2 linked regions of the Neurospora crassa OR74A genome follow. The protein of the gene in region 1 interacts with the protein of each later gene in a pairwise test. Links are inferred from orthologs where the notes say so. Each region holds a gene or a part of one and is shown in the gene's direction. Other genes may lie near its edges.

What was found.
Region 2: the proteins of NCU07438 (region 1) and NCU08067 interact in binary tests that used the Saccharomyces cerevisiae proteins (3 or more experiments, as listed by UniProt). The link is inferred for Neurospora crassa OR74A from reciprocal best matches to the Saccharomyces cerevisiae genes LAS17 and SHO1.

What each region holds. Positions count from the first base shown.
Region 1 is NC_026501.1:624,925-630,933, forward strand, and holds NCU07438 (WASP-like protein las17p), read left to right. Parts: upstream 1-1,427; 5' UTR 1,428-1,649; intron 1,650-1,828; 5' UTR 1,829-2,228; coding exon 2,229-2,438; intron 2,439-2,494; coding exon 2,495-4,163; intron 4,164-4,240; coding exon 4,241-4,272; 3' UTR 4,273-4,663; downstream 4,664-6,009. Other genes in the region: NCU07439 (hypothetical protein), read left to right, coding at 448-519, 602-763.
Region 2 is NC_026501.1:155,361-161,535, forward strand, and holds NCU08067 (osmosensor protein), read left to right. Parts: upstream 1-2,676; 5' UTR 2,677-3,918; coding exon 3,919-4,068; intron 4,069-4,146; coding exon 4,147-4,455; intron 4,456-4,516; coding exon 4,517-5,026; 3' UTR 5,027-5,756; downstream 5,757-6,175. Other genes in the region: ro-10 (RO10), read left to right, coding at 429-651, 722-1,152. UniProt on the Saccharomyces cerevisiae protein: Plasma membrane osmosensor that activates the high osmolarity glycerol (HOG) MAPK signaling pathway in response to high osmolarity.

The sequences.
Region 1 (6,009 bases):
GTGTGTTGTATGTATGTACTAATGGCGGTCCCTGAGTGGTTCCCTCCAGTCGGAGTCAAGATCCAATGCTCCGTCTTGTCGGTTTGATGCGCTGTTCGTGGGAGGTTTTAGCAGCTGTCATTCAGTGTGCCTGCCGCCGCATACCTACACTAGTAAACGACGCGTGACCACCCCCAGGCGACGTCATTGTCTTACACCCTCTCTTTTAGGCCCCTTGTACGTGGTACGACGACTACAGGTTTCTTCCTATTTATTCCCTTTTGCTCATCCATCGTTTTCTTTTATAAAAGAGACCCTTCTCGACCTTCAAAACCTTCCACTTCTACACCTTACCCATCTTCCTGCAAGACGATATCGAAAAAGTTGATCAAGACTCCTCTCAGTTGTCTCACTACGACCCACTCCTCACGAACCATCAAGACAAGTCATAACATCAAGACCATCACAATGGCCGGCGGCGACGATCTCAGCAAGAAGGAAGTCAACATTCTTCCCCACGACACCCAGAAGGACGAGCAAGTACGTTACCATTTCCTCCCTAGTCTGGTGCCTTGTGTGAATCACAGAAAACAGAAAACTGACTCTTTGGCCAAACAAATAGAAGAACCCCAACAACCCCCTCAACAAGCTCGCTGATAGTGCCAAGGCCACGTTCGAGCAGGCGTCAAAGGCCATGCCCGGTCCCGCCATCTCGCAGAACATCGGCGGCGAGGAGGGCACCAAGGAGGAGCGCAGGGCCAAGGCCGAGACGCTCAACAAGTAAAGATATGGACTCGGACAAACAGGGGAATGGATGGAATGATTGCAATGACTGAATGATACACACACATACACATAACATAATTGAACTGTTTTGACAATTACTCTGATGGATCAGTCCTGTTGGAGCCTAAAGTGACTTTGGTGGTGGAATTGCGCCCAAATGAGAGGGGTCTGGTCCTCGAAAGTTGTCTCAAATGGGAGCAATGTTAGCATGTGAAGGTAGGTAGGTACTTTCATGTCATCCCATGTTCGTACATACCTACACTACTTTCATCCTATATCAACCTGAGCCATATAACCTCCAAATGCACATGGAAGTTGTTGTCATTGCCAGTTTCAACATGTCCCTCAAACACCCAGCTCTCGGAGGAACCGTCTCGTTGGACATCCATCATCACGGCGGGCAAGCGAAAGGTCGGCTGTGCAAGCGGCGGGCGGGAATAGTGGAGGGGTTCAGTTGAGGGATAGGTACCCACTGTTAGTGGACACGGACAATTGACGCCCTATCCACCCCCGGCACAATGTCATGACGCTATCTGGTTCATGTCCACAAGTTGGTCGCTTCCCGTCGGAAATTGGTCATTGTGGCTTGCTGGGGTTTCGTTGCCATCCTGATTCCATTCAGTCAAAGCCAAACAGCCCGGTCGTTGCCGCCGCCGTAGTGATGCAACTCCCAATCCCCGTACATAGTGTAGTTAAGTAGTGTACACTCACTGCATGCCTAAGGAACCTCTTGCCAGGTACACCCGCAATTCAACTTCCTTCTTGTCTACCTTGCAATGGGACTTGCTCCTCTCTCTGTAGTCTGTACAGCTTTAATACATTGAATTTTCACGGCAGATTATAACTAAGCTTGCCAACTGAAGGCTGCTGGATCATTGTCCGAGGTACGTTATTCCCAGCCTGCCGCCGTCTCTTCTACTCAGTATCTGCTTTTGCTCCTTTCAGTCATTGGACATCCGGGCGGCCGAGTCTTCCTTATTCCTCCCACCAACCACCAAACATCCGTGCCTCCAATACCCAGACCTACCTCTAGCTAACCGGCAACTTCCATTGTCTCTTCTAGGCTTCCGTCAACTGCTTTTATTCCTACGCGGCAAGGCCACGGAAGCGCGGAGCTTTACTTTATCTTGTACCGACAAGATACTTGGCCGTCGATAACAAGCGCCAACGACCCGAAAAGCATTAATACGACATCCCACTTCCGACTTGCTACCTCACCCTTCGGTCGACGTTGCCCCCCTCCCCTCGCCGACCGACCCGCCGACCGGATCAAGGCACGACGACTCAGCTTCATAACAGTACCTCTCGGCGCTGCGCCCGCCGGCCGAGTCCTTCTACCGAATTTCCGCATAACGACTCCCAATCTATCCATGCTTTGCTCCCCCTGGACGATCTAAAGGGGACGACAGGCCGCAACCTACCTCAAGCCACTTCCACGCTTCCACCCCCCATATATATTCACGATGCCGTCCATCCTCAGCGACGACGACAAGGAAACGGTCAAGCGCTGCGTGCCCAAGCAGACCAACAAGATCCACGCCGTCGCCGTCGCCAGGCTCTATGTAGCCTACCCCAACCCGTCCAGATGGACCTATACCGGCCTCCAGGGTGCCGTCGTTCTGGCAAATGATCTCGTGGGCAACACATATTGGATCAAGATGGTTGATATCTCGGTAAGTGTGAAAATGACGATTGCGTGGCTGGCCACCATTTGGCTGACATCGGACAGCCCGGAAACAGGGGAGTGATATGGGACCAGGAGATCTTCGACACTTGGAACTACAACCAGGACCGTGTCTTCTTCCATACCTTCGAGCTTGAGGAATGCCTGGCTGGCTTGTCCTTCGTGGACGAGAAGGAAGCCAAGCAGTTCCTCAAGAAGATGAACGACAGGGAAAAGAACGCCAGCAAGGCTACCAGCAAGACACCTTTCGGAGGCGCATCCCAGGCACACCACCACAAGCACCACGGTCTTTTCGGCGGTCTGTTTGGAGGACATAAGCACGCGTCTCCGACAGCCACCCCGCCCGAGTCGCCACGTGCCGCTGCACCGGCAGGCCGTATGAGAGCTGGAAGCACTAATGGAATAAACGGATACAAGCCTCCTTCCGAGTTTGCGACCCTGGATGCTTTCGATCCCCTGTGGAGGGAACACTTCGGTGACGACCTCAAGGCCCAAGGCCTCGACGACGACTTCATCCGCGAAAACCAGGACTTTATCATTGAGTTCTTGAAACAGGAGCAAGCGAAGCAGGGTATACACACGAGCACTCCTCCGCCGCCGCCGCCGCCGCCATCCGCTCCTCCTAATGGTCCCGCAATGAGAGCTCCCCCACCACCTCCTCCTGCTGCTGCTCCGCGCAGTGTCTCCGAGTCGATAACTCCATCGACCTCTAGGAGAGGGCCAGTACCCCCGCCTCCCCCTCCAGCAAGGAGATCCGGCAAGCTCGACACGGAAAACCACCAGGAACCGGCCCCTCCGCCGAGATTTGCTGTTCCTCCTCCCATCGCCGATGCTGGCAAGTTTGCCCACTCTGATCCCCCGCGACATACGCCCTCTGCGCCTGGACCTCCACCACCTCCCCGGCCGCCGAAGACGCCACTCGAAGATCAGGACCCGAGCCAGAGGTTCAGCGTTCCTCCGCCATTCACAGGCCAACGAAGTGTACCCCCGCCGCCTCCCAGCCGTAGCTCTGTTCCTCCGCCACCGCCCCCGAGAAATTCAGCTGCGCAACCTCCTCTGCCTCCCAAGGCACCGGGACCAGCACCTCCCCTCCCGCCTGCGAGCTCACGGCCGCCCCCCATGTTGCCAACTAGAAGCCCGGCACCACCGCAGGCACCGCCTCTCCCGACCTCGAACGCGCCACCTCCGCCGCCTTTACCGGCCACCCAGGCGCCTCCACCACCTCCCCTTCCCGCAACCAGCGCGCCTCCTCCGCCACCACCGGCACCGCCAGCACCTCCGGCGCCCCCTCTACCCGCAGCACATGCTCCCCCGCCGCCGCCTCCCATGCCACCCATGCCCGCACCATCAGGCGGCGCACCGCCTCCGCCTCCGCCTCCTCCACCGGGTGGTATGGGTGGTGTCCCTCCCCCTCCTCCTCCCCCTCCTCCAGGTGGTATGCCTCCACCGCCCGCCCCTGCCTTGCCACCTGTTGACGGCAGTCGTTCGGCCGTGTTGGACGGCATCAAGACCGCGGGAGGTATCAGGGCGTTGAAGAAGGTAGACAGAAGCCAGATTCGCGATCGTTCCGGTGCTGCTGTTCCTGGTGGCTCCGATAGTGGGCCCGCAAGCAGTGGATTGCCGCCCGCTGGAGCTGCGCCGGGTGGCGGTGGTGGAATGGCGGATGCGTTGGCGTTGGCGTTGCAGAAGAGAAAGGAGAAGGTTAGCAAGAGTGGTAAGTATCTGGATTATCCCTGGCTTGTGAAGTGTGAGAGCATGTCGAGAATGATGCTAACACTGGTGGAAAAACAGATGATGAAGATGATGGTGATGATTGGGACTAAGTGCCCGATACCAACAATGACACGGTGAAGAGCCACCGGAAAACAACAAGGTTCCAAGTAGGAGAAGAGTGCAAAAGGAATGAAAAGCAAGACTGGAGAGACACCGATATCCAACCATCATCCATTCATCTGGTCGTTATTTGGCCATAGAGGAGATGATGACGGCGAGGATGGGCCGTTGCTGGAACAGGAGGAGGAAGAAGAAGAAGGAGAGGAAGGGGAAGAGGAAAGCTGAGGGGTGGAAGGAAGGAAGGAATGAAAGAAAGGATGCAGTGTCGTTGCATACTATATATATATATATAGCTTCACCGTATTTGGAAATATTCACACCTCGTCACTGGTGTTTAACAAGAAAACAAAAGAAATGCAAAATTATACTTTTTTTTTCCACTTTCAGAAATACTATACCAGCTTTTTATTCTCTGTTTCCCATCTTAACTTGATACTCTTCAAAGACAGCGGCGAGTGCCTGAAGAGGTTTCATTGATATATATGTATCTTGAAGATTACTTACTTACTTACCTACCTACCTAGGACTGTTTGACAGTGTTTTGTATTGGAAAAAAGGAAAATACTCGGTCGCGTGACTACAGTAGTTGCCGCTTTCAACAATTTCAATGTTCCTGAGTCCCGAGTTTCTTATGCTGCTGCTTTCCGAGAGCTACCTACGGACCAGTAATTACTTCGTCACTTGGGTTTGGTTTAGTCTCATAGAAACAATTTGAATAAGGGGGAGACGGACAGCTCCGAAACATCGTAGAAGAAGTGTTGGTCATATATCGAACAACTGGACCAGGATAAGCATAAATAGTGAAGAGTAGGACATCTCGGCGGTTCTCTTCTAGTGAGGTTGATGGAATGTTGTTACAAGCAAGACTTTTACTGGGCGGTGCGGGCGGGTCTTGCAAGGAGCAAGAAGAGGAACGAAAAATGATATATGTACATAGCCGGATGGGGACTTGAGCGAGGAGGGGATGAAGAGGTGCTGTTTAACACATGTTGCGTCTTGTCCTCGAGTAGAACAAGGACGTGCTTTGGCTCTTACAGGGTCACATTCCAGTGACCGACAGACACATCTCGCGTGAACCGAGAAGCCTAGTAATGTGTGATCGTACCAAAATACCATTTCCTAGCTCGAGAGAGGGAAAAAAAAAAAGAAAAAGAAACCAGACATGAGAGAGCCCCCTAAAAGAACATAAAAGACGTTTATGACAAAGCCATCCTATCATAAAAACAGCCTAACCCCTTTTAATATCCCAGAGTGCACGTAACCATCCTCTTTTCATTGCGGATGGATCGATGCTCTTTATGTCCTTCGCCCCCCCTTTTTTTAACTTTTTTACTCTGCCAGCCTTCCTCCTTCGTTCTGCCTGGTTGTAGGACCTCGAGTCCCGCAAACCAACTAACCGGACCCAGGTAAATGACGTCCCTCCCACCATTGTACCTGGCTCCGATTCTCCTCCTCCTGATTTTGTTCGTAAGATTTGTTTCTTGTCTTGTTACCGGAAAAACAAGGAAATAATAGGCACACCAAACTGTCGGGGAACCAAACTGGCTGCTGCTGTTAACGGTTATGGTTGATGGGTTGAAAAAAAAACGTGGGCTGGCTGCGTACGGCCGACACACACCGAAAACAGAGACCACCAGAATGGTTTGAGAGAGAAGACAGCTTTTTTGGACTTTCCTGGACGACCCCTTTACTTCCTGGCCAGACCCTTTGGGGATACCGACTTGGAG
Region 2 (6,175 bases), about 470 kb from region 1:
GGAAGAGAAGCCTTCCAGGTGGATCAGCGGTGAACTATCGGGGGTCATTGAAATAACAAGATCAAAAAAGCCAAGCTCCAGCCTTATGAGAGTTTACAGTGGTAGGTAGCTTGTTCAGTGTTCCACTGTCCAGGAGCAGGGCCTTGTGTTGTCCGGGCACCAGTCGCTGTCCAACGGGCGGTGTCCGGGATGCGGAGGCGGGGTTGAATTGAACGGTATGTTACCTTACAGCCTTACACGACCCGTCATCGGTCTAGACACGCGCCGTCAAGGTTCTTTTTCCTCTGGACAATTGCCACTGCTTGAGCTCAGCTTCTGTTTACCATCTTAATTCATCTTTGCGACATCCCCTCGAGGCGGGTATAACCGATACCACCGATACCGCATCGCATAACCCCAATTACCAACAGAACTCGCCCACCAACACCATGGACGTCTCCCAGGAAACCTCAAGCCTCGACAAAACGTCTCTAGCCACCATCTCCCTCCTCGAATCCCGTCTCCGGCGGATCGAGCACATCCTCTACGGCCCCTCCGACCCTCCAACGCAAGCGCCCTCTTCCTCCGCAACGACCTCTCTTGCCCAGCTTGAACACCGCTTCAATCTGCTCATTCGGCGCTTTCGCGTGTACGCCGAGCTGCTTAAAATTCGTACGTCCCTCTCTGTCTCCCACCTTTCCATTTCGCATCACTTCAAAGCTAACCAGAGGCCCCAAACCAGACAAAGCCAACCCCACACTCTTCCACACCTCCCCCTCGGCCGATCAAAAGCTCCCACCAACGGACCTCCCGCCTGCTGCCATTCTCGCGACAGTCCTTTCCTACGCCTCCCAGTTTCCCCAGACCGCGTCCGCCCTAGTTGCAGCCGCCCCAGCCAACACCATTGAATCCGCGATTCCCGACAGCAAACTCTCGGCCGAGTTGGCGAGCTTGATACCCCGGATGAAGGGACTGGAGGCCATGCAGTTGGCGCAAGAGGCGGAAATAGCGGAGCTCAGGGAGAGGAGCGAAGCCGTGATGAAGGCATGGTATGAGAAGAGGGTGCTGGGGTACGGCAAGTTTGTGGCGGAGGGTGAAGCGAGGGTGGAAAAGTGCGAATTGAGGGTAAGGAGAGCGGAGAGGGTGAGGGAGATGGACGCCGCTATAGAGTGAGAAGGCAAAGAGGAGGTTCGAGACAAGATTATGCGATACATGGCTAGTGAAGCGGAGGAGCATGGATTTTGGCTTGCGGGAAACAAAACTCACACGGAAGCCATTTTACCGCCGCTAGAGAACGGCGTCACGATTGATCAACAGGTTAGGCGACCGCGAACAAATCACTGGGGTTGTGCGTATGGAATACGACACGCCGTTGGTAGCGCGCGTGCACTTTACGAAGTGTGAAGAGCAGATCAACAGTGGTTGGCACATTCGTACGAGAACAATGCTAGTGACCAAGGGAATGGGGCAGATGTCATTGCGCGGCAGATATCACGCGACAGATGCGCGGGAGTCGGGCGTCATCTTTGGCCCACTGGAATGTTCAGCCGATATCAACACTCTGCTCGCCGTTAGCACCGACAAAAACCAGATCGACGGTGCTGTGGTAGCGCTCTATCTGGAATGAGAATTCACGGGAGAGGCTTTTTACAAACGTCACAAACACGCTTGATAGCCGGCAGTGATTGTTTGGCTCCTGCAGATGGGATTCCGAAACGAACGGCGTTGCCCTAGAACTCACGCGGCGAGCCTAAAGCCCCTGCCTGCATGCTGCATGGGTGTGGATTCGTGGCATGGTGAATCCGTCTCTCTGTTGACATTTTCTGCCCGTCACCGAGCTCAGCTGAGTGATGTCGCATGGTAGCCAGCTCTCAGCCTATCATTTACAGTCGGTCACGATGTTTCTGGACGACCTAGCAATGAGTGAATGGAGCACAGACGCAAGCCACATGGCTAGCTGCCTGACTGACTTCCGAGTGTTACAATGTTGTGAATGTTTGAGACTTTTTGACTATGAGTTTGAACAGTGTCGAGGTAAGATATATCAAGATGGAAGAAGAAAACAAGAATAAAAATAAAGATGTCCTGGCCATGACCCAGTACCCTAGAGCCATCATTCACTTTGAACAGGTTAATCACCCAAGCAGAGTCTACCTCTAGGTAGGTATGACTCCCCATCAATCACCACCATCAGCTACAAAGACTGTCAAAAAGTGCAGAAAAAGAAATCGAGCTGCTACAGTAGCCCGCCCTGTGTCTGTGTACCTCTAATTTGCTCCATGCTCCCGTCCCCACACAGCCGCTAGAGGTACAGTAGGTAAGCAGCGCCTGGAATGTCTTGGCCTAACGATTTGCAGTGAGATTGAGGACCGTGCCTCTTCTGACTGGACATTGCATTCATTAGCCCAGCAAATGCAATAATGCGATTGGCTCGTTCGCAGTGTTGCCGCGTGTTGCCCGGACATTGTACCTATGTCACTGCAAGGGAAGGATTCATTCATTGTGCAGCGAGCAGCCGCCAGGCAACGCACTCCAGGAGTCCAGAGCCTCCACAGCGGACATGGCTCCCCCCCATCTTCAGTGGATTCAGTGGGCTCCATTGTTGGTCCCTTCCTCACTTCTCTTGCGCGGTCTCGTCCACTCGTTTCCACAGCAGCAGCCACCTCATCCCCCCCCGGTTGCTGCCCGCCCCGGAGTCCCTCAGCCAGGCCCCGTCGTTGGCCTTCCATTCCGGATCTCCCACCACCACCCAGCCGTCGTCACCCACACCCACACACACACCATTTCCCTTTTCACGTCCCCGTCCGTCCGTCCTGCCCGTGCGATCCCCTCATTTCTGTTCGTTCCCTCCTTCAATTTTTCTTCCCTTTCACTTCTCCATTGGCCGGCGTTGATCATCGCCCCAGCCACGTCCAACAACAATTTGCTCAATCCATCAATCGCTCCCTTCGTTCCCTCAACCTCATCAACCTCGACGACGACGACGACGACGACGACGACGACAGCATACGATTGTCCGACCCTGAGCTGAGCTGAGCCCTTTATTAACGCGAACCGGAACAAGACGGGGGGATAGTACAATACGACGTTGGCAGGTACCGAGATATCACACCCGACTACCGTCATACACCGGACAAACAAAGAAAAAGGGAAACAAAAGAAGAAAGAAAACAGGAAAAAGGAATCCAGGACCATTTCCAGACTTCCAGTGGACTCTTCTACCGCCCTTCTTCCAACTACCGATTGATCTTGCGTGTTTACCGTATCTACCCATACCGTACCGCCGCCGCCATTCGTTCCAACGGACAACTACCGTACCGTCACATCTCCCGACCCGTGCGACCGACTCGTTGCTTATTTCCCCTGAAGATTCAAAGGCTCTGTCCTCGTCTTGAGTGTCCTTGGAGTACCCGACGGCCACTTCCCTTGGACTCAGCCTCCTCTTTGCGGATTGCCAACCAACAAACACCCGACGGAGCAGCCCGACAGCGACCACCCAATCTTTCAATAACATTGCAACTGTCCTACCTTCGACTCATTTCCATACATCGCCCAATTACTACCTACCCATATTTGCAACGACCGAGACGAGCCATACCGCGTTGCTGGACACCGAATTCCTCGCTCAACGTCTTGCAGCAAACGACAATTGCTACCCGACCCGAATTTCTTGCTTCGACTTCGACCACTTGTCGCCGTCGAACTTCCTCTCTTTTTTTTTTCGTGACATTGCATCTGTCATTGCAGAACAAACACATCGCATTACCAACCGCGGACTGGTCCCCGGAATACGACACACACACGGCCCCTCGCCGTCATCTTATACCCCAAGTGAAGGTGTGCGTCAACTAAAGTGTCCCACACACGTCGGTCCATCACTTATAACACGGACCTCGAATATCCCGAGAGGACGCTCTTCCTTGGCGACCTTCGCCCTTGATGCAATCGTACGGAGGATCGGTTAACTATCCCCCGTCCTTCAACAACCCCAAAATGGAACACGGCAGGAACTCGTACCGCCGAAAAGGCATAGACATGGGCAACATTATTGGTGACCCATTTGCTCTGGCCACTACTTCTATTGCTACTGTGAGTTTCCATACGCGCGCGCGCTGGCGTCCACCCTTTTCCCGTCCTGTCGCCTTCACGAACTGACAATCACCACAGCTGTCATGGATCATCATCCTGTTTGGATCCATCTTTGGCTTTAGGGACCAAAATGACGGATCGAATGGGGCTCCCGTCATTGTTTGGCCAACCTACAGCTGGTTCACCCTCGTCTTCAACTTCTTCCTCATTCTCGGCATTTTCATCGTCATCGCCTCGGACAGCGCTCAGACCTACCATGTCGCCATCGTTGGCTACCTGGCCGTCGGGCTGGTCGGCTCCACGTCGTCGATCAACAACCTGATTTACAGTGGCGTTGCGTCCATGGAGGCGACAGCGGCTGGGTATATCTTGTTGTCCATGGTGACGGTATGCGGTTCCCCGCTAACTTCCCCCAGCTGGCTGACCCCATTTGCTAACGTCCCGCCAGATCATCTGGATATTCTACTTTGGCTCCGCCCCATCGGCTGTTCCCCGTGCCTACATCGACTCCTTTGCGCTGACCAAGGAATCCACCCTCCCTGCGCATCACATGAGCCGCCAAACCATGAACCACAACGGTCTCTCCTCTCCCAATGCTTACGGCTCCTACAACATGCGCCCTGAAACCTCGGCCTCGGGCCTCCAGCCTCCGCAAATGTACACGGGTCAGCTCAACGGGCTCGAAAACCCCGCTCGCCAGTCGCAGATTCCCCAGGGTTTCTCGTCCAACAACATCCCCAAGCCGCAAGGAGAAGGGGAGATCGTTCCGCCGACGGAGTACCCGTACAGGGCCAAGGCGATATTCAGCTATGAGGCCAACCCGGACGATGCCAACGAGATTAGTTTCTCCAAGCATGAGGTGCTGGAGATTAGCGACGTGAGCGGGCGGTGGTGGCAGGCACGGAAGGAGAATGGAGAAACGGGTATTGCGCCGAGCAATTACTTGATTTTGCTATGAGCGGGCTTGAATGGGTCGGGGATGGAGTTGAGGTTTTTCTTCGTCTTTTTGAAAAGAGAGGATTTGGCGTGTGAACCGCCAGTACAAAACAAAATCATGAAGTGGTTTTTTTTCTTTTATCTATCTTTCTTTTGAGTCGGCGTTTTATACCCACATTAACGTTACACTTTCTTCTCGACCACCCACGGGACTCGTAATGCGACACACCAAAAACCGTGGCTCGTTTGGAAACGAAGGCGAAACCGGATGTTGGATGCGGACGGGGCAAGGTTTGGGTGGAAATGGAGTTTTTTTTCCCTTTTTTCTTGCAATGTCATTTTTCTATCTTCTCTTACCCTTTTTCTCAATGTCTTTCCTTTCTCGTGTTACACTAGTTCTTGTATCAACTTTACATGTCTTCTATTTTGCGTTCGGCAGCTACGGCAGAGGATAGGCCGCTACTGGAGAATGGCAATGGAAGAGGGAACAGGACAAAAAAGCGGGGGAAGATGGAAATGGGTGCTGTTTTTACGAATTTCATGCATGGCGAGGAACGGAGAGAAGATGGACGGACGGATGGAGGCTGTGAACCCAAAAGGAGATGTACCCACAAGCAGCAATTGAACATCCAGCGGCCGGAGTTGGGGATGTTGGAACTACCTACCTGTAGAGAATGAAGACACAGTCCGCTTGATCATGATATCGATAATGTACCGAGTCCGATGATTAATTGAGCTTGTTGGCTGCCTCCCAATTTGCGGGTCTCAATCGCCAATTTCCAATCTTCATGATGGAGGAAAATCCGAGATTATCGAAATTAGCCAGGAGCGAAGGTGTGGAGATGCGAGGATCTTACCTAACCTCGCTCCAGGTCGCTCATCACCACTACCCATGTCCATCACATCTCGGACAGGGATATTGCTTACATTGTTATGGTCCAACATGGAAACAGCCAGCCACCTAGTGACAAAGACAGCTATGAATGTACACTACATAGGTAGTTTGTTACAATTGTAGTAGTCCGCTAAAGCAATAGCAGATTGGTTGCAAACATGCCCGTCCAAGGAACTGACATCTCTACTCTAGAGGTATTTCCCCAGTTCATTGCGTTGCTCTCTGTTGGTAACTTACGTAGCTTCATCCATCTCCGCACCCAGTTTCATTGTAGGT